Mus musculus: one gene and its partner. The protein of the gene in region 2 interacts with the protein of the main gene of each other region in a biochemical or structural test. Links are inferred from orthologs where the notes say so. Each region holds a gene or a part of one and is shown on either strand. Other genes may lie near its edges.

Region 1 (9,579 bases), on a different chromosome or scaffold from region 2:
TCCCAGCAACCACATGGTGGCTCACAACCATCTGTAATGAGATCAGATGCCCTCTTCTGGTGTGTCTGAGACAGCTACAGTGTACTTACATATAATAAATAAATCTTTTTTTTTTTAAATTGTTTTTTTAGATAACAAATTGGCTTTTTAGTTGGTGTGGTGGCACATGCTTTTAGTCCAAGCCTTGGGAAGCACGGGCAGGTAGATTTCGGATTTCCAGGCCAACCTAGTCTACAGAGTAAGTTCCAGGACATCCAGGGATAGACAAAACTGTAGCTCAGAAAAATGCCTTGTAAGTCAAGTTTTCCAAAACTCAAATTGAGCCAAACCTACTAGTAAGCTTCTAATTCCATTCTCAGGGGGGCTGTGATAGAAAGATCACAAGTTCAAGGCCTGCCTGAGCCTCTCAATTCTTTTGAAGGAATGAGGATCACTGCTCAGTGGGAGTGTATCTTCCAACCATATGCAAAGGCCCTAGGTTCACCCAGTACCTTTCCCAAGAACTGCCAAGAGGTTCATTTAGACCCAGAGGCTAGCCTGACTGCAAGATAAGGGAGTGTGGGGGCAGCATTCTCAAGAGTATTTTAAGAGCCATGTGCCTTTGGACAAAGGACAACTTGAGGGATGTTCTGCTATGTGCATCTAGGGACTAGACTGTCTCGCCAGCCTTTCAAGCCCAGCCTGCCTTCATTTACTTTTATTTCTAAGGATGTCAAGACTCCCTAGCCCTTATGCAACCCAGACTGAGACTGCACTGACTTTAAACCCTACTCATTAGTAGCAACTGGCCTTATCCATGTGGAGCCTTTATCTCCCACATTAAAGCCCAAATGTTTTAAAAAACATGTTTTAAAAGAGTTCAAGATTTTGCCTACATGGGTACTGTATATGGACCTGGTACAGACAGGCCACTAGAACTGTTGTAAATCATGTGGGTGCCAGAAACCGGGGGAAATTTTCACTAAGTCCACACTAAAGTCATATAACATCTAAACAGCTAGCCTTTTAGAGCACTTAGCTTTCACGTGTTTGATTTTAATCAAGACTAAAGACTACCTATGTAGCTCACGTGGTGGAAGGCTTGCCTACCAAACCTTTGGCCCTGAATTCCATCCCCAGAAACATGCTTTTATTCTGAATGTTTTGTCTTCAAAGCACCAGTAGATGGTGCTACTCCACTTATACACGTAAGTGTGCAGGTTTGAAAAACGGTGTTTGTATCCAGCAGACACTTGCTATCAATTTCCCAGGTAGGTCTTGATTCTTATTTAGGGTCTAACAGCTTACTTAAGCTATTTCACTATTAGCAATCCATTTTAACCAGTCCTACTTGAAATAACCTCAACTAAGGAACTGACAAGCCTTTAGTAAAGAGTTTGCAGCAACAGCAACCCTTAATCCCACAAGCACTAGAATTTTATCCAGTCTCTAAGGGTAAAGATGACACATTGGATGTTTTTGCCATATCAAAGGGGTTATTACACATCACTTTTCTGAGTCTAGATTATCTAAACTTAGGCCACCTGTTTTCATCTCATGGACTTCATGACATATCCTATGCAGTCTTGCCAATCCACTTCCAGGGACTAGCCCATGTTTGTTCTGCCAAAGTCAGGCTAACATGCCTCAGTTTTGAAACTTATTTCAAATTACATGTTCTGGCAACAAGTACAGTCACTGTAACCAAAATCTCAGTATAAATACTGAACAGCTTTTACCTTATTATTGAAGGTATTCCTACCACCCTACCATCAGCTTGTTTTGCAAAAGCTCATCTTAGAAAATCCCTTTTGCTTAGCCTCTTCGTTCTCACCTATTCATTCAAGATTGGTCTTTTTAGTTAAGGTTCTCTCCTGTGTAATTGTGGAAGGAAATGCTCAAGTAATTGTCCAACCTTGCTTCATTTCCAATATTCACAAAGCACACTCAGTAATCCTATGTGGTAGCATACTCCAATGCTGCCTAAATCAAACTTAGCTGTCACACCCAAGTCTGACCTACTGCATGCAGATCCAGACAGATTGGGGTATAGGTATAGTCTGCCCAACTATACCACACCTTGGGTTGATACAGCAAAATTACTTTGTCCTCACCAGTAAGATTTGAAGTTAACCCAAATCAGCCCTGTTTATAGCTCAGTTCTGGGCAGACCCAGACAACCAGAACTCAATCCCTAAGAACATACCATGGGGACCCCAGTACCTTTGTTGTATACAGTCAGTTAACTTTCAGCATTGACCAACACAGATTTCTCATTAAACTTGTTTTAATGGTCTCAAAATTCTGTGACAGATTTTTGGTCAAGTTGTTTCCATTAAAAAGTACTGATTTTGAAAACTAATAACTTAAAACTGCCACACACAAAAAAAATGGTCCACAACATTCTTTCCTTCTGAAGGTTTTACGATGCATTGTTATCATTAACCAGTCTTTTACTATTAAACTTAAATGGCCAATTGAGACAAACAGTTCTGAGACCGTTCTTCCACCACTGATTAAGACTGGGGTGGCAGGTGTTAGGGGTAATATTCATTTAGCCTTCTGAGCTTTCTGGGCAGACTTGGTGACTTTGCCAGCTCCAGCAGCCTTCTTGTCCACAGCTTTGATGACACCCACAGCAACTGTCTGCCTCATGTCACGAACAGCAAAGCGACCTATATAGAAAAATGCCATTTATCAGTATCTTTGCTATGCAAGCAACATTTCCTATTACAAACTTGATGTTCAGTGTAGCAGACTCAGATCAGGCTTACCAAGTGGAGGGTAGTCAGAGAAGCTCTCAACACACATGGGCTTGCCAGGGACCATATCAACAATGGCAGCATCGCCAGACTTCAGGAACTTGGGGCCATCTTCCAGCTTCTTACCAGAACGACGATCGATCTTTTCTTTAAGCTCAGCAAACTTGCATGCTATGTGGGCTGTGTGACAATCCAGAACAGGAGCGTAGCCAGCACTGATTTGGCCTGGATGGTTCAGGATAATCACCTAAGAAAAACAGCGTGTATTTAAGTCTTGCCTTGTGATTCTGCACACACAACCAATCTAGCCACCTATCTTAAAAATGTGTCACCTGAGCAGTGAAGCCAGCTGCTTCCATTGGTGGGTCGTTTTTGCTGTCACCAGCAACATTGCCTCGTCTAACATCTTTGACCGACACGTTCTTTACATTGAAGCCCACATTGTCCCCAGGAAGAGCTTCACTCAAAGCTTCATGGTGCATTTCAACAGACTTGACTTCAGTTGTTACATTGACTGGAGCAAAGGTAACCACCATGCCAGGCTTGAGAACACCAGTCTCCACTCGGCCCACAGGGACAGTGCCAATGCCTAAAATAGTATTGTTTTGTATAAGTATTTAATACACAAAACATAAGACTTCAAATTCACGTCAACATTCTACTTAATATTCTACTTACCTCCAATTTTATAGACATCCTGGAGGGGCAGTCGCAGGGGCTTGTCAGTTGGACGAGTTGGTGGTAGGATACAATCCAAAGCTTCCAGCAGCGTGGTGCCACTGGCACTGCCATCTTTGCGGGTGACTTTCCATCCCTTGAACCAAGGCATCTAAAACACAGGCAGTCAATTATAACCTCCTTACTTATTGCGGCTTTCTCCATTCAACTACCTTAAAAGTCACTTACATTAGCACTTGGCTCCAGCATGTTGTCACCATTCCAACCAGAAATTGGCACAAATGCTACTGTGTCAGGGTTGTAGCCAATTTTCTTAATGTAGGTGCTGACTTCCTTAACGATTTCCTCGTATCTCTTCTGACTGTATGGTGGCTCGGTGGAATCCATTTTGTTGACACCAACAATCAGCTGTTTCACACCCAGGGTGTAAGCCAGAAGAGCATGCTCGCGGGTCTGCCCGTTCTTGGAGATACCAGCTTCAAATTCACCAACACCAGCAGCAACAATCAGGACAGCACAGTCAGCCTGTAAGAAACAAGACAATCATATACCATTATCTCAGAGAAAGCACCCCACTAAAAAATATCCTGAGTCAGGAATGGGTAAATTTTACACACCTGGGATGTGCCTGTAATCATGTTTTTGATGAAGTCTCTGTGTCCTGGGGCATCAATGATGGTCACATAGTATTTGCTGGTCTCGAATTTCCACAGGGAGATGTCAATAGTGATACCACGCTCACGCTCAGCTTTCAGTTTGTCTAAGACCCAGGCGTACTTGAAGGAGCCCTTTCCCATCTGCAAAGTGACTTCTAATTAGTACACCCAAGACCTAGGTTCTACTCCCTGCTTAAAGAATTCCCATCCCTCCTTTTGCCTTATACTTGCCTCAGCAGCCTCCTTCTCAAACTTTTCGATGGTTCGCTTGTCGATTCCACCACATTTGTAGATCAGGTGGCCGGTTGTGGTGGACTTGCCGGAATCTACGTGTCCGATTACGACGATGTTGATGTGAGTCTTTTCCTTTCCCATTTTTGCTTTGAATTAGCGGTGGTTTTCACAACACCTAAAAAAGGGTTTAAAAGATACCTTTGAACCGCTAAGAAGCCCGAGAATTAGCTCCGCTCAAAACTCAAGGGGACAAATTCCAAAAATGACTTCCAGCGCCAGGCTGGCCTGACTAGTCTCCACCCACCAAATGTGAACAAACTCCAACGCCATTACATCCCCTCCCCCCGCCGCGACTAGCCGTGCTCAAAAGCCCGAGGTGACTATTGCGGCCGATAGGACCACGGGGTCACAGGAAGCAGCAGCCGGTGAGGGACCAGGCCCTCTTCCTTTGTGTGGGTGACTCACCCGCCCGCTCCACCGGGCTGCCGCGTCCTCCATTTTGAGCTCCTTGCAACAGGGCCCGGGAGCGGCCATCTTTCCACGCACGCAACTGGTGCCGGACGGGATGGCCTCACCCTAGTTAGGGAGGCAGGGCAACGCGGCGCCGCCAAGCCAGATCGTGCCGGGTGCTGGGGCCACATGGCCTCGGCACGCTAACCCCAGCCTGGTTGCTTCGGGAAAAACCCCAGGCCTCGCCCCATCCAGGTGGCGTCGGACATGTGCTCCGAAGGCGGGCGGGCCCCAGCCGCCACTCCTGTCCCTCCATTCCTCCCCAACCATGACCTCTCCGGGCTCCGGGCGAGCAAGCCCCGCACCCTCCCTTTGTTAGCCCCTATTGCTGAACGGCAATCGAAGGCAGCAGGGCAACAACAACAACAAAAAAAAAAAGACCAGAGTGCGGCCGGAGTAGCACGCGGCGGCGGCGCGGACACCACGCTAGGCCTCAAGCCGGACACGAGGCGAGGCTACGGGGTTGCCGCTAGGCCTCGCACTCTGCCTCCCGCGCCGCCCGCAACTCGAAGCGGGAATGCTCGCAGCTAATCCCCGCCGACGACAGCGGGGCCCGGCCCGCTCGGAGCAGGACCTCCAGCTCGGCGGCCCGCGGAAGCCACACCCGCCCCTCACCTGCGTTCTGACGGCAAACCCGTTGCGAAAAAGAACGTCCAAGGCGACTGCCGCACTTATATACCGTTCTCCCCCACCCTCGGGAAGAGGGCGGAGCCAGCACACGACACCGCTTTCCCAGTTTGCCCCGCGCCAGCTCCCCGGTCCTCCCCCCCATCACCCCCCCCCCCCCCGCTCAGTGCGCCCCTCCCCCCACGACCAGGGTCTATGAGCTTGTGTGCTCTGCTCTCCCCGCGCTCAGCCCTGAGCGCATGCTCCTCGCACTGTGGTGGGGCGGGTACCGGGATTATGGGTTATGAGAATTTAGCGACGGTCCCTGGGACTTCCCCAGGCGAAGGCGATCCCTCCTTTTGTATGAATTACTCTTGGCCCTAGCGGAGGGTGGGGCGGCGAGAAGCTGGCCAAGAGGGCGGCCAGAATCTATCCCTACTCTTCCTTACTCCGCTGCCAAGGCTGTGTCAAGATCCGGGTGTCCCTTCCCACGGAGGCCACCTCCCGACGTCAGCCCCGCTATCCTTCTGTTCGCCTCCCGCAGCCCATGCTCTCCTGGCTGGGAGAGGAACACAATGTTGGGGACCCTTCCCGGCTCTAGAACCCAAGGGCTTAGCTCAGTAGCGGAGAGCTCGACCGATCTGCCCCTGGGCTGGCCCCTTGGTTTATTCCATCCAATGCCGGTTGATTCTCTGGAAACCTGAAGCGGCCTTCACACCCCTAAGGGTTCAGTTCAGAATATGCTTCAATCCTACAGTTAGCTTTACTTTGATTCTAGGTTTGTTACACTAAAAAGATTGTATGTGTACATGTGTATGTACAGCCATTTGATTGAACATGAGAAACCTGAAAATAATCTAATCCACCCCACATGGTCTCATCTAAATACCAGCATCAGCAATCTCCCAGCGCCCATCCCTAACACTTGTGAAATCACTGCTTCTCAAAAATGGCTTGCCTTGTTAGTTACATCCCTTTCTTTGCTGCAATTCTAGCGATCATACCAGCATTGTTTTGTTATTGAGACAAGGTCTCTCTTTTTTAGCCCTGGCTGCCCTGGAATAGGTAGTAGACCAGGCTGACTTCAAATTCACAGGAATCCGACCTGGACCTGCTGGGATTAAAGCCCTGGCCATTTTTAAATGCCTCTCAGAGCAGGCACACAGAAGTGTTTCTCAGAGGAAAGAAGAACTTCTTTGTTTTGTTTTTTAATGCTAGAGATGGAAAAAGAATTATTTTGTAATGGGATATGGGGTGCTGGAGATGGAACCCTAGGGTGTCTATCACCAAGTTACAGTTCCTAGCTCAAAGATATCCTATCTGATTATCCATCATTGGATCTCCTCTCCCAGGTGTACAACATCACTTCCCAGTTACAAACATTTGATGTTCTTGCACCAACCTTACTAGGAGCATTTGAGGGCCTCTGTCTAGTGTTCACAAAAACACACAGGATTTGCAAAGGAACTATTTGTTTCTGGGGAAGAGTTCCACAGTCAAGGGAAAAACTTAAATATAAAACAATTTGGAACCAGTTCAAAGCAAATTTACATGATGCTTCTCATTTCTTGTCTAGTTCTAGTTTTCAACTATTTTTCACATCCCAAACTGTTGTTTTTTAACTTTTTTTTAAAAGTGGTATTTATTTAGTGTGTGTGAATGCGTGTGCCACATCACCCTGTGCGGAGGCCAGAGGCCAGAGGCCACCTTTCGTGGGGCAGGTTTGCCCCTCAACTACGTGGACCTATGGGATCTAACTCAGTCAGGCTTTGCAGCAAACGCCTGTACCCAGAGAGCCATTTCATGTCCTACTTTTGTTTTTGTTTGAAACAGAACTTGATGTAGCTCAGGCTGGCCTCAAACTCATGTTGCTGAGGCTGGCCTTCAATTTTTTTTTTTTTTTTTTGGTTTTTCGAGACAGGGTTTCTCTGTGTAGCCCTGGCTGTCCTAGAGCTCACTTTGTAGACCAGGCTGGCCTCGAACTCAGAAATCCGCCTGCCTCTGCCTCCCGAGTGCTGGGATTAAAGGTATGCACCACCATGCCCTGCTGGCCTTCAATTTCTAATCTTCCTAGCTCCACTTCTCAAGTACTGGGATCTCAGGTGTGCCCCCCCACCCCGCATCCTCCCCACAGCCCTCCCACCCCCACCCCAGGCTTCTTTTCTTGCCTAAGTGAGAAACAAAGACCCTGTAATAGCCTTCCTAATTCTTAGTTTACAGATCCTTATAACTTCCTAAAGGCAGATTTTCTCACTCATCAGGTGGCTTCTAGCTTCATTTTCATCTAACACTGGTAATTGTAATCAAAGAATCCAGGACAACGTTTCCCTCCAAGTATATACATATAACTAATCATTTGCTATCCACAGAAGCCTTTTCTTTTTCTGGTCAATGAGGTTGTTAAAGGATCACACACAGGATCTATTCTATGCGTGCTAGGCACACAAAAGCCTTTTCTGTAATGTCCACATTAGCCTCTCTCATTTCACAAATTCTTTTTTTCCACACAGAATTTTTCTGGGGTCCCTAGCCAGTCATATGCATACAGGATAGAATTATCTTGATACCCTACTGCCTATTTGTAACAGGAGAAATTGTAAGAAATACTCGAAAACCCATCGGCAGCAACAGAACCCACTCTCTGCTCTCTCTCTCATTTATTTCCTTGGAGACACTGGCTAGAGACTCCTCTTTGCAGCTTGTTTCCCACAGTCAGCGGTGGGATACATTAGTGTATACAGTAGTGGTATCTGTCCCACACGAGATATTATCGAGATATTATTTTCCATGCTTGCTTTAGCAATATATGCTTCCAATGGTTTGGGCTTATATATTATTGGGGTAATAGAATAGTACACATCTTTTATTTTGTCTTCTTTAGTTTTCAAGACAAAGTTTCTCTATGTAACATCCCTGGCTGTCCTGGAACTCACTTTGTAGACCAGGCCAGCCTCGAATTCACTGGGATCTGCCGGCCTCTGCCGCCCCTGTGCTGGGATTAAAGGCCTACACCACCAAGCCTGGCAACCCTGCATATTTTTTTTAGCAGGAATGGCACATTTTTGACAATGTAAAGAAATTATTATTTTATGACCTGAGGGTTTGAATCAAAAGATTAAAGACTGAAAGTTTAGAGGATTTGTTTTCATTTTTTTATTTTATATATGTGGACGTTTTGCCTGCACGTGTGTCTATGCACTGTGTGCATTCCAGGTGCCCTCCCTGGGGGGCGGGGGAGGGGGGAGTGTCAGGGTGTTAGGCCTCTAGAACTAGGATGGTTGTAAGCTGCCTGATCTGCATGCTGAGAACTGAACCCCTGTCCTCTATAAGAACAGCAGGTCTTACCTGTTGAGCCATCACTCTAGACCTACATGCTGTATATTGTTTGTTTTTCTTATTTTAAATTTATTTGTTTTACACTCTATATTTTACCCCCCCACACACACATGTTGTTTGTTTTGTTTTCTGAGTCAGGGTCTTACTGTGTAGCCCTGGCTAGCCCAGAACTTACTATGTAGACTAGGCTGGCCTCAGAAATCCTCCTGACTCTGCCTGGCAAGGTAGGGGTGGGGGGCGTTTCTCCTCTTTTGTTCTGTTTTGTTCTGTTTTCTGATTGTTTAGAGACAGAGTCTCATGTAGCTTAGGCTGGCCTCAAACTCATTCTGTACCTAAAAATAACCTTGAACTTCTGATTCCCCTGCCTCCACCCTCATCACCTATTTTTATGCGACATTCAGGAATCCAAACCATGGCAAACAACTTCACAAACACTAGGCAAGCAACAGATTCTGGTTTGTAAGTCTTATATTAAGTCCAGAATCATGGCTAAAATCTAATCCTAAAAGAGAGTTATGATTTTTTTTATTAATATATGTAAGTACACTGCAGCTGTCTTCAGACACACCAGTCAGATCTCCTTAAGGATGGTTGTAAGCCACCATGTGTTTGCTGGGACCTGAACTCAGGACCTTCAGAAGAGCAGTCGGGTGCTCTTACCTGCTGAGCCATCTCACCAGCCCAGTTATGATATTTATTCCCTAGTGTTAAACAAAATAGAAAAATGAAAGTCGATTTAGGTGAGAAAGAAAAGCATCAAGAACACTGGCTCCTCCTCCAGAGGACCCGGGTTCAATTCCCAGCACCCACATGGCAGC
Region 2 (10,550 bases):
CTCAGAGTTTCAAAGGCTCTGTTGACTGTGGCCAGCTGTGAGGCCATCACATGGGAACACGGGGCAGAGGATGCTTAAATCCTGGCAGGAAGGAGACAAGAGAAAGAAAGGGACAAGGAACTAGGTACATCCTTCAGAAGGGCATCCCTAGTTACCTACTTCTTCCAGCTAGGCACCAGCTCCTAACATTTCTGCTGCCTTCTGAAGTAGCACCACTAACTGCTGATCAAGCCTTTGATGCCCGAGCTTTAGAGGGGTGAAGAAGAGGGAGGAGGAGGGGGGAGGGAATGGAAGGGAGGGTCAACTTTTCATACCTAAGCTACAAATTCAAAGGAAATACTGATCCTAAGGAAAGACACATTTTTAAGTGATGGTAAATCTTGTCCAAATAACGTTCTGAAATAAAAATGGAGGTAAACTCACAGGCTTGCTTTAAAACAAACGAACAACAACAACAACAACAACAACAAAAAACCCCAAAGCCCCAAAACAAAACCAAAAAAAGACTTATCAAGCCTATGCAGATAAACAAGAGCAACAAGAAGTTGAAGCCTTATGATTTCATAACTTGGGATTTCCGTTCTAGGCAGTAGACTATGAGTTGACTCACACCGAAATAACAAGCTCCTTTCCTTCAGTAGCACTGGCTATAGTTTGAAAGGAGGAAACACTACAATTATGTATTGTAGAACCAGTAGTAGGAATGTATGTGTGATAAGGATGAGGATGTTGTCACAAAAACTCTAGTATGGCAAAACAGCAAAATAATTTAATAATTGTCTAGTACCTACTTCCCCATGACTACCAGATATAACCATTTAGAGATTTCATAAATATGATTAAAATGTCACTCTAGTCCTCCATACTTCAACACCTGGGACTACCAGGAGTAGTTTTAAAAATAGCATTAGGAAGGTATGATGCTGCATACCTGTAATTCCAGCACTCAGGAGGCTGAGGCAGAAGGATTGAGAGCTTGAGACTCTGTCAGAAACAAACAGTAACCGTGCTGCTTAGTTTTATGTTAATTTGCCACAAACTAGAGCCATCCGAGAGGACAGAACCTCAATTGAGAAACTGCTTCCATAAAATTGAGCTACAGGTAAGTCTGTAGCATATTTTCTTAATTAGTGGCTCATGTGGGAGGGTCCAGCCCATTGTAAGAGGTGCCATCCCTGAGCTGACCACAGGTTCTGTAAGAGAGCTGTCTAAACAAGCCATGGGAAGCAAGGCAGCAAGCAGCACTCTCCCGTGGGCTCTGCAGCAGCTCCTGCCTCCAGGCTCCTTCCTGATTTGAGTTCCTGCCTTGGCTTCCCCCCAGTGGACTGTGATTCAGGATACGTAAACCAAGGAAACCCTTTCCTTCCCAAGTTGCCATGGTGATTTTATCACAGCAAAAGAAACCCTATCTAAAGCAATATCTCTACATACTGGACTCGTTAGGTGGAATATAATCCAGGACTCTAATATAAAGCTGCAAGCAAGCAGGCGGGCTGAGTGCAATTCCTCCTTCCAACCATAATACTCACAGAAGACAATCACTGATGAAACATTCTAGGGAAATTCAGCAATGAGGTAACACAAGCTTGGCTGAGTCAGAGTGTGTGACATGAACAGTTTTTGAATACCAGATTTGGATAAAATGCCATTTTTTTAACAATAAGGCTAAACATAGCATTAAGTATAGTTTTTGAGGGATAAATACTATACTTTTGCTATGTTATACCCATTTTAAACTTCAAATAGCTGCCTTTAATGGGACACTATAGTCCTATGTTTCATCTGAATTGCATAAACAGTGCATGGTTCGACTCAGCTTCCATTCAGATGAGATGGGACGTTCAGCATAACTAGCTGATGACAGTGAATACCATTTTGTCCTAAAATCCAGTTGAAACATAGGTGTGATGGCGACTCTTGGTTGTCAACTTCATTCAGTACATCTGGAATTATCTAAAATTCAAAAACAGAGGGCACCCCAGTGAAGAAATTTTTGCTTAATTTGAAATAGGAAGATCCACTTCTAATCCAGATCCTGAGGCAGGAAAACACACTCCTTTAATATGGACCTTGAGGTGACAAGACACACTCCTTTAATACAGGTCTTGAGGTGGGAAAGGCACACCTTTTATCTGGGCCATACCTTGTGTGGGAAGCTTAGACATGGAAAAAGGAAGCTTTTGCTCATCGCCTGCTTGCTCTAGCCTTGCTAGCATGTCTATTCCTTCACTGCCATTAGAGCCTACTTTAGTGGGATCCCAGCACATTCAGACGACCAACTGAGACATCTAGCCTCAAGGACGGAACAACTTCTAGATTCTTGGACTTTTTGTTCATAGCCAGCCATTGTTGTATTAGTTGGACTACATACTGCCTGTAAGTCAACCTAATAAATCCCCTTTGTATATATGTATGTGTGTATATACATATGCATACATATATATTGATTTTATATGTTCCACTACTCTAAAGAACCCTGATTAATACAATGGACATACCAAGTAGATCATGAGGTCTTTGTAGAGAAAGGACCAGAAATTTTTTAGGGCTTATATTTTTGAAGTGATGTTAAAGGTGACTTTTCTGAGAATTCATGCACAGGACTGTAGGGTCATGAGGTGGTGATTAATTCTCAGATTCTTTTTAATTCATGACACCCACTGTACTACTGAATGTAGGGTGTTGAGGACACCAAGCTGATGAAGTCATAGTCTCTGCTGTCACATCATCTTCTAATTCTTTGTCAGCTGCATCCTTCCAGAGAACTTCTAAGAAATGTCTAATGGGTAGAGCCCTGGAGTTCTAGGGAACACAGTTCATTAGTCTCCAAATGGTGACTCGGAGTGGTTTGTGTCATTATGGTATTTTAAAGATGGTATTTTAGTGCCAGTTACCTGTATTGTTCCTGGAACAAAATTAAGAAAGGAAGCGTTTATTCCTGGGTACAGTTAGTCCATCATGGGGAAGGCTTGACAGCCAGAGCTAGAGGTGGTTGGTCACATGGCATCCTCAGTCAGGAATGAACCAAGAATGACCATGCTCAGTGTAGCTGTTTTCCTTTTTACATGCAGTGAAGACCCCGAGCCCATGGAATGGTTTTATCCATCCTAATCTAGATGACCCATCACAGTCACGCCCAGAGGCTTGTTTTAGTAATGGCTCTTGATCACCATTAAGGTAACGGTCACTGTTAACCATAGAAATTGAAGCCTAAACTTCAATATTGAGATTTTGCCCCTGATGCTGTTTTGTAGGGCTAGAGATCAAATTCTGAGCCTGGGCCTGGAACAAGCTAGGCAACTGCTCTACCACTGACCTAGAATCCCAGGCCCCCAATGGTAGAGAAATTCTCTCTCTCCTCTCCTCCCCTCCCCTCCCCTCCCCTCCCCTCCCCTCCCCTCCCCTCCCCTCCCCTCTCCGCTTTATTTACTTTTGAGTGCTCTAACTGCATGTACACCTCATGCCAGAAGAGGGCATCAGATCCCATTATAGATGATTGTGGGCCACATTTAGTTGCTGGGAATTGAACTCTGGACCTCTGGAAGGATAGCCAGTGTGCTTAACCACTGAGCCAACTCCCCAGTCCCAAGGGATTCTTTAACAAAGCATCGCCATTTAAAGCTTTAAGGCGTAAGTATGAGGTACACAGCACCCAGGGTAAGTCATACACTGACATTTGCTCCTTTACTCAACTTTTGTCTCTTGGGGACATCTCCAATAAGTGAACTAGAAAACCAACCTATAAATTATCCATTAAGTTAAGATTAAGAGAATTTGAAAATATTTTGTCCACAAGAATAAAAACTTGCCGGGTATGGTGGCGCACGCCTTTAATCCCAGCACTCGGGAGGCAGAGGCAGACGGATTTCTAAGTTCGAGGCCAGCCTGGTCTACAAAGTGAGTTCCAAGACAGTCAGGACTACACAGAGAAACCCTGTCTCGAAAAACCACCCCTCCCCCCGCAAAAAAAATCTTAAGGATAACTCACATGTACCTCTGCAAAATTTACTTCTGTAACTGTAAGCTACCCAGTGACCTCAATATTAGCACTGTTAAGAATGCAAGCATATGGGCTGCAATTTCACCACTCTCCGTGACTAGTAGGTTCAGGCAATGCTTTTGTATTTACTGAATAAGCTCATAAAACAAAGAGAGTTTTGAGCTATCCAGTAAAAGTTTGCATTAAAAATTGTTTTTACTTTGTAACTCCTGCTTGCAGTTACGAGGGTTTGCCTTCTACCTACAAGTTGCTATTATCTCAAAGGTGAAATTTGAGCACATGGCTAAAATGTACTACAGTTACAGCTTCATGATTCAGCTTCAGTAATTCAGAGTGAGCTCATAGACAGTAAAGGTGGTGTCATACTCTTCTGCCTGTGATGGGACGCTCAGGGAACATCGTGAGCACCTCGAATTTCCATGATGGCACCTCTGAATACCACAGAATTTCTCTCTTAGCTCTTACTTGATCAGAAGGAGCCTTCTTCAGGAAGGATTCTAAGAACGGTGAATTTGGCTCGTTAAACATGCGATCACCAGCTCCCCACCTTACATGGAGTAGGCAGAAATTTCACCAACTTTTTGTGGAAAAGATTCCAACTTGGTACTGTGCCACCACTACACACAAATGCGATTTTTTTTTTTTTTTTCTTCTCCCTGGAGTTTCAAATTCTCACAACCAACCAAAACCAAATCAAACCAGCCATCAGGGCACCAAAAGACTACTACTGGGAATAAGCAGGTTTACCTGAAACTTGCATATAAACACTGAAGCAAGCTTTGCCCGGCATGTCTGGACACTTAAAAATATGCTTACTAACAACAGCTAGACTGGAGTGCATTAATCCCTGGAAGTAAAATTTAAAAAGCAGCCCCTTAACACAAAGGGCACGAAACGACAATCAAAAGATGTCCACAACCAGAAAAACAATTGGCAGGCTGTTTCAGTCAGAGCTGAGGACACTTGAACCACTGCAAAGCCCTCCGCACCAGAAGGCTCCACAAACTACCTAGAGCTGGCTCAGGACCCCACCAACCGGGTTTCAGCACCACCTTCGTCCCGTGGGCTCCCTCCCGCGTAGCTCCGCCCCTTTCCGCTCAACTCTGCCTTGCTTTGGTGGAGCGAGGGTCTGGGTGTCAACGTCTGCTAATTTGCATAACCCAATGGCCTGACTGCATGCAAATGAAGCTGGACCTGGTTGGCTGAGGGCTAGCCCCATATCTCCGGAATCGGGCCCTTTGTCCTCCAGTGGCCCCGAGGCAGCAGTGCAGAGTTCCCCAGCGAGGCTAGGCGAGCAGCCGGCCGGCCGGAGCGGAGAAGGGAGGGTGGGAGCGAGCGCAGAGCCGGCGCCGCGCACTGTGGGGGCCAGGAGCAGCCCGCGCGCCGAGGGAGGGACTCGCACTTGCAATATGACTTTGGAGGAATTCTCGGCTGCAGAGCAGAAGACCGAAAGGTAAGTGTGCCTGCCGACTCGGTGGCCGCCGCCCCTCCCGCCTCGCGTCCGGGGACCCGGCTGACCCGCTCTCACCCTGCCGCCCGCAGGATGGACACGGTGGGCGATGCCCTGGAGGAAGTGCTCAGCAAGGCTCGGAGTCAGCGCACCATTACGGTCGGCGTGTACGAGGCTGCCAAGCTGCTCAACGTGTAAGTGGCCCGCGTTCCCCGCTCGCCCACCCACCCGCCTCTACCCCGCGCCCCCCTGAGCGTATGCAACTCACCGCTGCCCCGCTGCCCGCAGAGACCCCGATAACGTGGTACTGTGCCTGCTGGCTGCTGACGAAGACGACGACCGGGATGTGGCTCTGCAGATCCATTTCACCCTCATCCGTGCGTTCTGCTGCGAGAACGACATCAACATCCTGCGGGTCAGCAACCCGGGTCGGCTAGCTGAGCTGCTGCTACTGGAGAACGACGCGGGCCCGGCGGAGAGCGGGGGCGCCGCGCAGACCCCGGACCTGCACTGTGTGCTGGTGACGGTAAGAGACCCGGGGCTGCAGCCCAGAATCTGCTGGGGTGGACCTTGTCCGAGCTGAACGCTGATCTCGCGGGGGTTGTGATAGGGTACGGAGCGTGTCTAAGCTCGTGGGTGGCCTCCAGCGGCGGAAGATATCCCTGTGAGTCAGCAAGCTGCCCAGCTGCTACCTCTGCTTACCTCTGCACAACCTCGCGTGGCTAATTCTTTGAGCAGAACAGATTAGATAAAGCCAAATAAATTCCCGGTTTACCCTTCGTTAAGAAGTTAGCTTCATTCTTCATTTGCTGTCAAAGCTAAAGGTAGAAGTGGTGTAGGAGACAGACCTTATTAATTCCCTGGATATAGATAGATACTCTGAAGTGTACCGAGTGGAATTCTTTTCTTTGCTGCTCTTGAGTTTGTTTAAACGAGCTCCCTCCTCCCCACCGCTTAAAAATGTGTGGTGGGTTGATAGTGTTTTCAGAAAGAACCGTGCTGTCTAGGTCTTCTGGTTTTTTGTTTTTGTACTCTTTCTCTTCTGACTTGTGTAGGGAAGTGACTGCCTGGTTACTTGTTGCTGCCAGTAAAATGTGCTATTCATCGTCAGGGAAGATAAGAGTTCAGCAGCTGCCTGCCCTGCAGCCCTCACCGTGCACACAGCCTGAGAATGCTTTTCAGGAGTCTTTTACTTATGACCCACCAGGGTACATGCTTGGAAGGGAGGTCTTAAGAATGGTAACCTCATGCAGAATGGGGTAGTTAATATGCAAAACTCTGTGTAGTTCCGTGCACGTTACAGGTGTTTAGACTATGCTAGATGCTGTTTTTAACAGAATGTTCGGGGTTTGGCCCTTTCAAAAGTAGCACAATTAGTAGCAGAAGCTGATTATTTTCCGGGGAAGTAATTTTTTCAAAATCTGTTCACAGAACCCACATTCATCACAATGGAAGGATCCTGCCTTAAGTCAACTTATTTGTTTTTGCCGGGAAAGTCGCTACATGGATCAGTGGGTGCCCGTGATTAATCTCCCGGAACGGTGATGGCATCCGAATGGAAATAACTGAACCAAATTGCACTGAAGTTTTGAAATACCTTTGTAGTTACTCAAGCAGTCACTCCCCACGCTGATGCAAGGATTACAGAAACTGATGTCAAGGGGCCGAGTTCAACTGCACGAGGGCTCAGAGATGACTTTGCAGAGGGAGAGAGAGGTGAGCCTGAAGAAGGAAGCTGCGAGAAAAGAGAAATCCAAGGCAAAAGGGACAAAAACTACAAAGCACTGCAAGAAAGAAAACTGCTAATTTAGGATGGCCAGGTTACTTTCAAATAAGCCAAATATTGCTTTGTTGAAACTTTAAATGTATAGCAATAGTTTGGGTATTTTTTTTCTTTTTTTTTTTTGGTCTTTATGCCCTCAAATAAAAGGAAAGTAAAAGAGGATTAATCATATTTTCAAGCCACAGTTTAAATGTATTTTGATGAGATGTTAAATTCTCAGAAGTTTTATTATAAATCTTACTAAGTTATTTTATGATGTGAAAGGTTATTTATGATAAAGTTTTTGAAGCACATTATCTAAAATAAACTGGTATGGAATAATTGTGTCATTTCTCAACGTGTGGTTTGTGTTTTACAATATTGATTATTGGACATTCTATTGAAGCTTTGCTGTATTTTACACTAGGCAGGAAGATGGTGGGGGGGGGCGGTTGTAGAGGGTCGGGGTAAGGAAAAAGGGAATATGGCAAGATTCACCTTGCAAAGTCTAAATTACAGTGAATGACTTAAATGCTATAATTAATTGCATGCAAAACGTGGAAGCAGAGAGGAGGGTTACCAAAGCTGCTTGAAGATGAGTGAAGCTTTTACTGAGGAAAAAACATTTCATTGGAGGCATCAAAGATCACAGCCTGCAGAGAGACCTACGAGGGTGTCTCTGCCTGCCTCTGGTGTAGGCAGATAAGTGAGAGAGGGTTGGAAAGGTGGGGGTTCAGCTCAGATGCTGACAGGAGTTCTTGCATCACCATTATGTATTTGAGCTTCTTTCTGTGAACTTGCCACAGTCTGCAGAAGGAAGTGACCTGGTCAGTGTTGTAGGTAGATAACTTGGGGAGGTATGGGGTAGTAAATAGGGTGAGTGGCTGGCTATACAGTACCAGCGTAAGGGAGAACCGTGGCAAAGGGCAGGTTTTGTCAAGTTGTAGCCTCTTCCCAGAGAATTTCCCCTACTGCTGTGAGAGGTCTGATTATGTCAGGGAAGAAGTGTCAGAGGAAAAAGAAGAAGAAAAGACTTCAGTAGAAGAAGCCTTTCTACTGTCTGGTTAGAAAGCACCTGGTAATTAACTGTAGCTGGGAGGCAGAGGCAAGGGAAGCAAAGGTGTGTGCTGAAGACAAAGCCTGGCAGAGCTATAGTCTCCACTGTTTGCCCCTCTCCCTCCCCTCCTCCTCCCCCTCCCTCCCTCTCTCTTCTCCTCTCTCTCTGGAGCTCTCTCTTTCTCTATTTCCCTCCCTCCCTCCCTCCCTCCCTCCCTCCCTCCCTCCCTCCCTTCCTCTCTGGAACTCCTTGGGCCCCTACTGTTTGCCAGCCTTCTTGTGACCATCAGGGAGAGCAGAAGAAACCACAAAACCCTTAAGCTTCTGCCCATCTTGTATAGGCCTATGAGCCTTCTGCTTTTCTACTCTTAGGAATGTGGATTTCTAGGCCTTATTTAGTCTTTGCTTGAAGACAATGTGTAATCCCAAACAACTGGAATAACAACATTTACTTTTATATTAGCAGGAGATTTGAGAGCAATTCCTTTCGAGCAAGCCCTTTAGCCTTCCCACTAGCGGCTTGTTCGGTTTCCACAACTGTTGTATTTCATGAACTAAGTTAAACCAAGTAGGACACGTGGAGAAAAGCAGCTGTTTGCTGGAAAGCACATGAGTGGCAGTCAGGTCTCCACCAGCACCCCCACCATTCATTCATGTGTAAAATGAAGAGCACATTACCCAGCCTACAGAGTTGCCTTTTATAGCTTTGTCATCTCTTGGAAGGATGAACTTAATATCTGGTCCACTGATGTATCCATACATTAGATGATGAGGTAATATTTGTTTAATAAATGAATGATTAGAAATCATTATGAACCCGAGGCTGTAGCTTCAGTGATAGATAGAGCATGTACGAGATCCTGCAATATCTCTGGCTCTGGGGAAATAATCACTACCTGGTACATGGTATTTGCTCGGATCATAGCAACAGGAGAATATTGAAGGCCTTACAGAGAGTTGTTACTTATACATATTATTAAAAAGGAGTTTGAGGCCGGGCGTGGTGGCGCACGCCTTTAATCCCAGCACTCGGGAGGCAGAGGCAGGAGGATTTCTGAGTTCGAGGCCAGCCTGGTCTACAGAGTGAGTTCCAGGACAGCCAGGGCTACACAGAGAAACCCTGTCTCGAAAAACCAAAAAAAAAAAAAAAAAGAAAAAGAAAAAAAAAAAAAGGAAAAAAAAAAAAAAGGAGTTTGAGTCATTTAACCCCAGTGCTTAGTGAGATGAAGTAGTGGGATAAAACCTTCAGATTACTCCATCTCTTGAAAAGCTCAACAATAAGTAGAGTTAGGTATTCTTTTGATTTTTGTTTTGTTGTTCTTTCATAAGATAACTCAAACATAAGTTAAAACAAATTATGAGCTGTTGGCTCAGTAGGTAGTTGCCACCGAAGCCTGACAACCTGAGTTTGATCTTGGAAACCCAAGGGAGAAGAGACTTGACCTCTTCAACTTGTCCTCTGACCACAGAAGTGCATGACATGTGCACATGCACCTATACACATACACACACACACACACACATACATACACACACAAACACACACACACACACACACACACACATACACACAAACACACATACTTATACACACATACACACACATACATACACACACATACACATACATACACACACAAACACACACACACATACATACACACAAACACACATACTTACACACACATACATACACACACATACACACAAACACACACATACATACACACATATACACACACATACACACACATACACACAAACACACATACATACACACACATACACACACATACATACACACACATACACACAAACCCACACATACATACACACACATACACACATACACAAAAACACATACAACACACACACACACACACACCATCACCACACCACACCACATTAATAAAATTCATAAAAAGCTAAATCTATGAAAGAGTTAAGTATAAATAAAGTATGCCTCTAACTTGTGCCAATATTTAGTTAATTGCTTTAGAAATTATTAAACAAGGTTGGGGCAGGAGGATTACTTTGAGTTTAAGGCCACTAGGTTACCTAGTACCAACCCACCCTGGTATCCTCTTAAAAACACAAAAGCAAGCAACTGACTTCCTTACATGCAACAAGAACAAAGACTTTACACACCTACTGAGATGTGCTGTTTGCTGAAAAGTGGAAAATACCTATTTTTCCATAGGTGACTTCATAGATTCAGTATTGCTTCTGCTTTGTCTGGCTAGTCTGGGTCTTTAGTATGTTAAAGCTCCGTAATGAAAAGA

Evidence for each region. The genes of interacting proteins can lie anywhere in the genome.
Region 1: the proteins of Gadd45a (region 2) and Eef1a1 form a complex in vitro, tested with the Homo sapiens proteins (2 studies listed by BioGRID). The link is inferred for Mus musculus from reciprocal best matches to the Homo sapiens genes GADD45A and EEF1A1.

What each region holds. Positions count from the first base shown.
Region 1 is NC_000075.6:78,476,205-78,485,783, forward strand, and holds Eef1a1 (elongation factor 1-alpha 1), read right to left. Parts: upstream 5,521-9,579; 5' UTR 5,435-5,520; intron 4,485-5,434; 5' UTR 4,451-4,484; coding exon 4,307-4,450; intron 4,217-4,306; coding exon 4,037-4,216; intron 3,945-4,036; coding exon 3,648-3,944; intron 3,571-3,647; coding exon 3,420-3,570; intron 3,331-3,419; coding exon 3,074-3,330; intron 2,989-3,073; coding exon 2,754-2,988; intron 2,655-2,753; coding exon 2,530-2,654; 3' UTR 2,249-2,529; downstream 1-2,248. UniProt on the Homo sapiens protein: Translation elongation factor that catalyzes the GTP-dependent binding of aminoacyl-tRNA (aa-tRNA) to the A-site of ribosomes during the elongation phase of protein synthesis.
Region 2 is NC_000072.6:67,032,104-67,042,653, reverse strand, and holds Gadd45a (growth arrest and DNA damage-inducible protein GADD45 alpha), read left to right. Parts: upstream 1-5,246; 5' UTR 5,247-5,409; coding exon 5,410-5,453; intron 5,454-5,542; coding exon 5,543-5,644; intron 5,645-5,718; exon of another isoform or gene 5,719-5,738; coding exon 5,739-5,976; exon of another isoform or gene 5,977-6,055; intron 6,056-6,881; coding exon 6,882-6,995; 3' UTR 6,996-7,558; downstream 7,559-10,550. UniProt on the Homo sapiens protein: In T-cells, functions as a regulator of p38 MAPKs by inhibiting p88 phosphorylation and activity.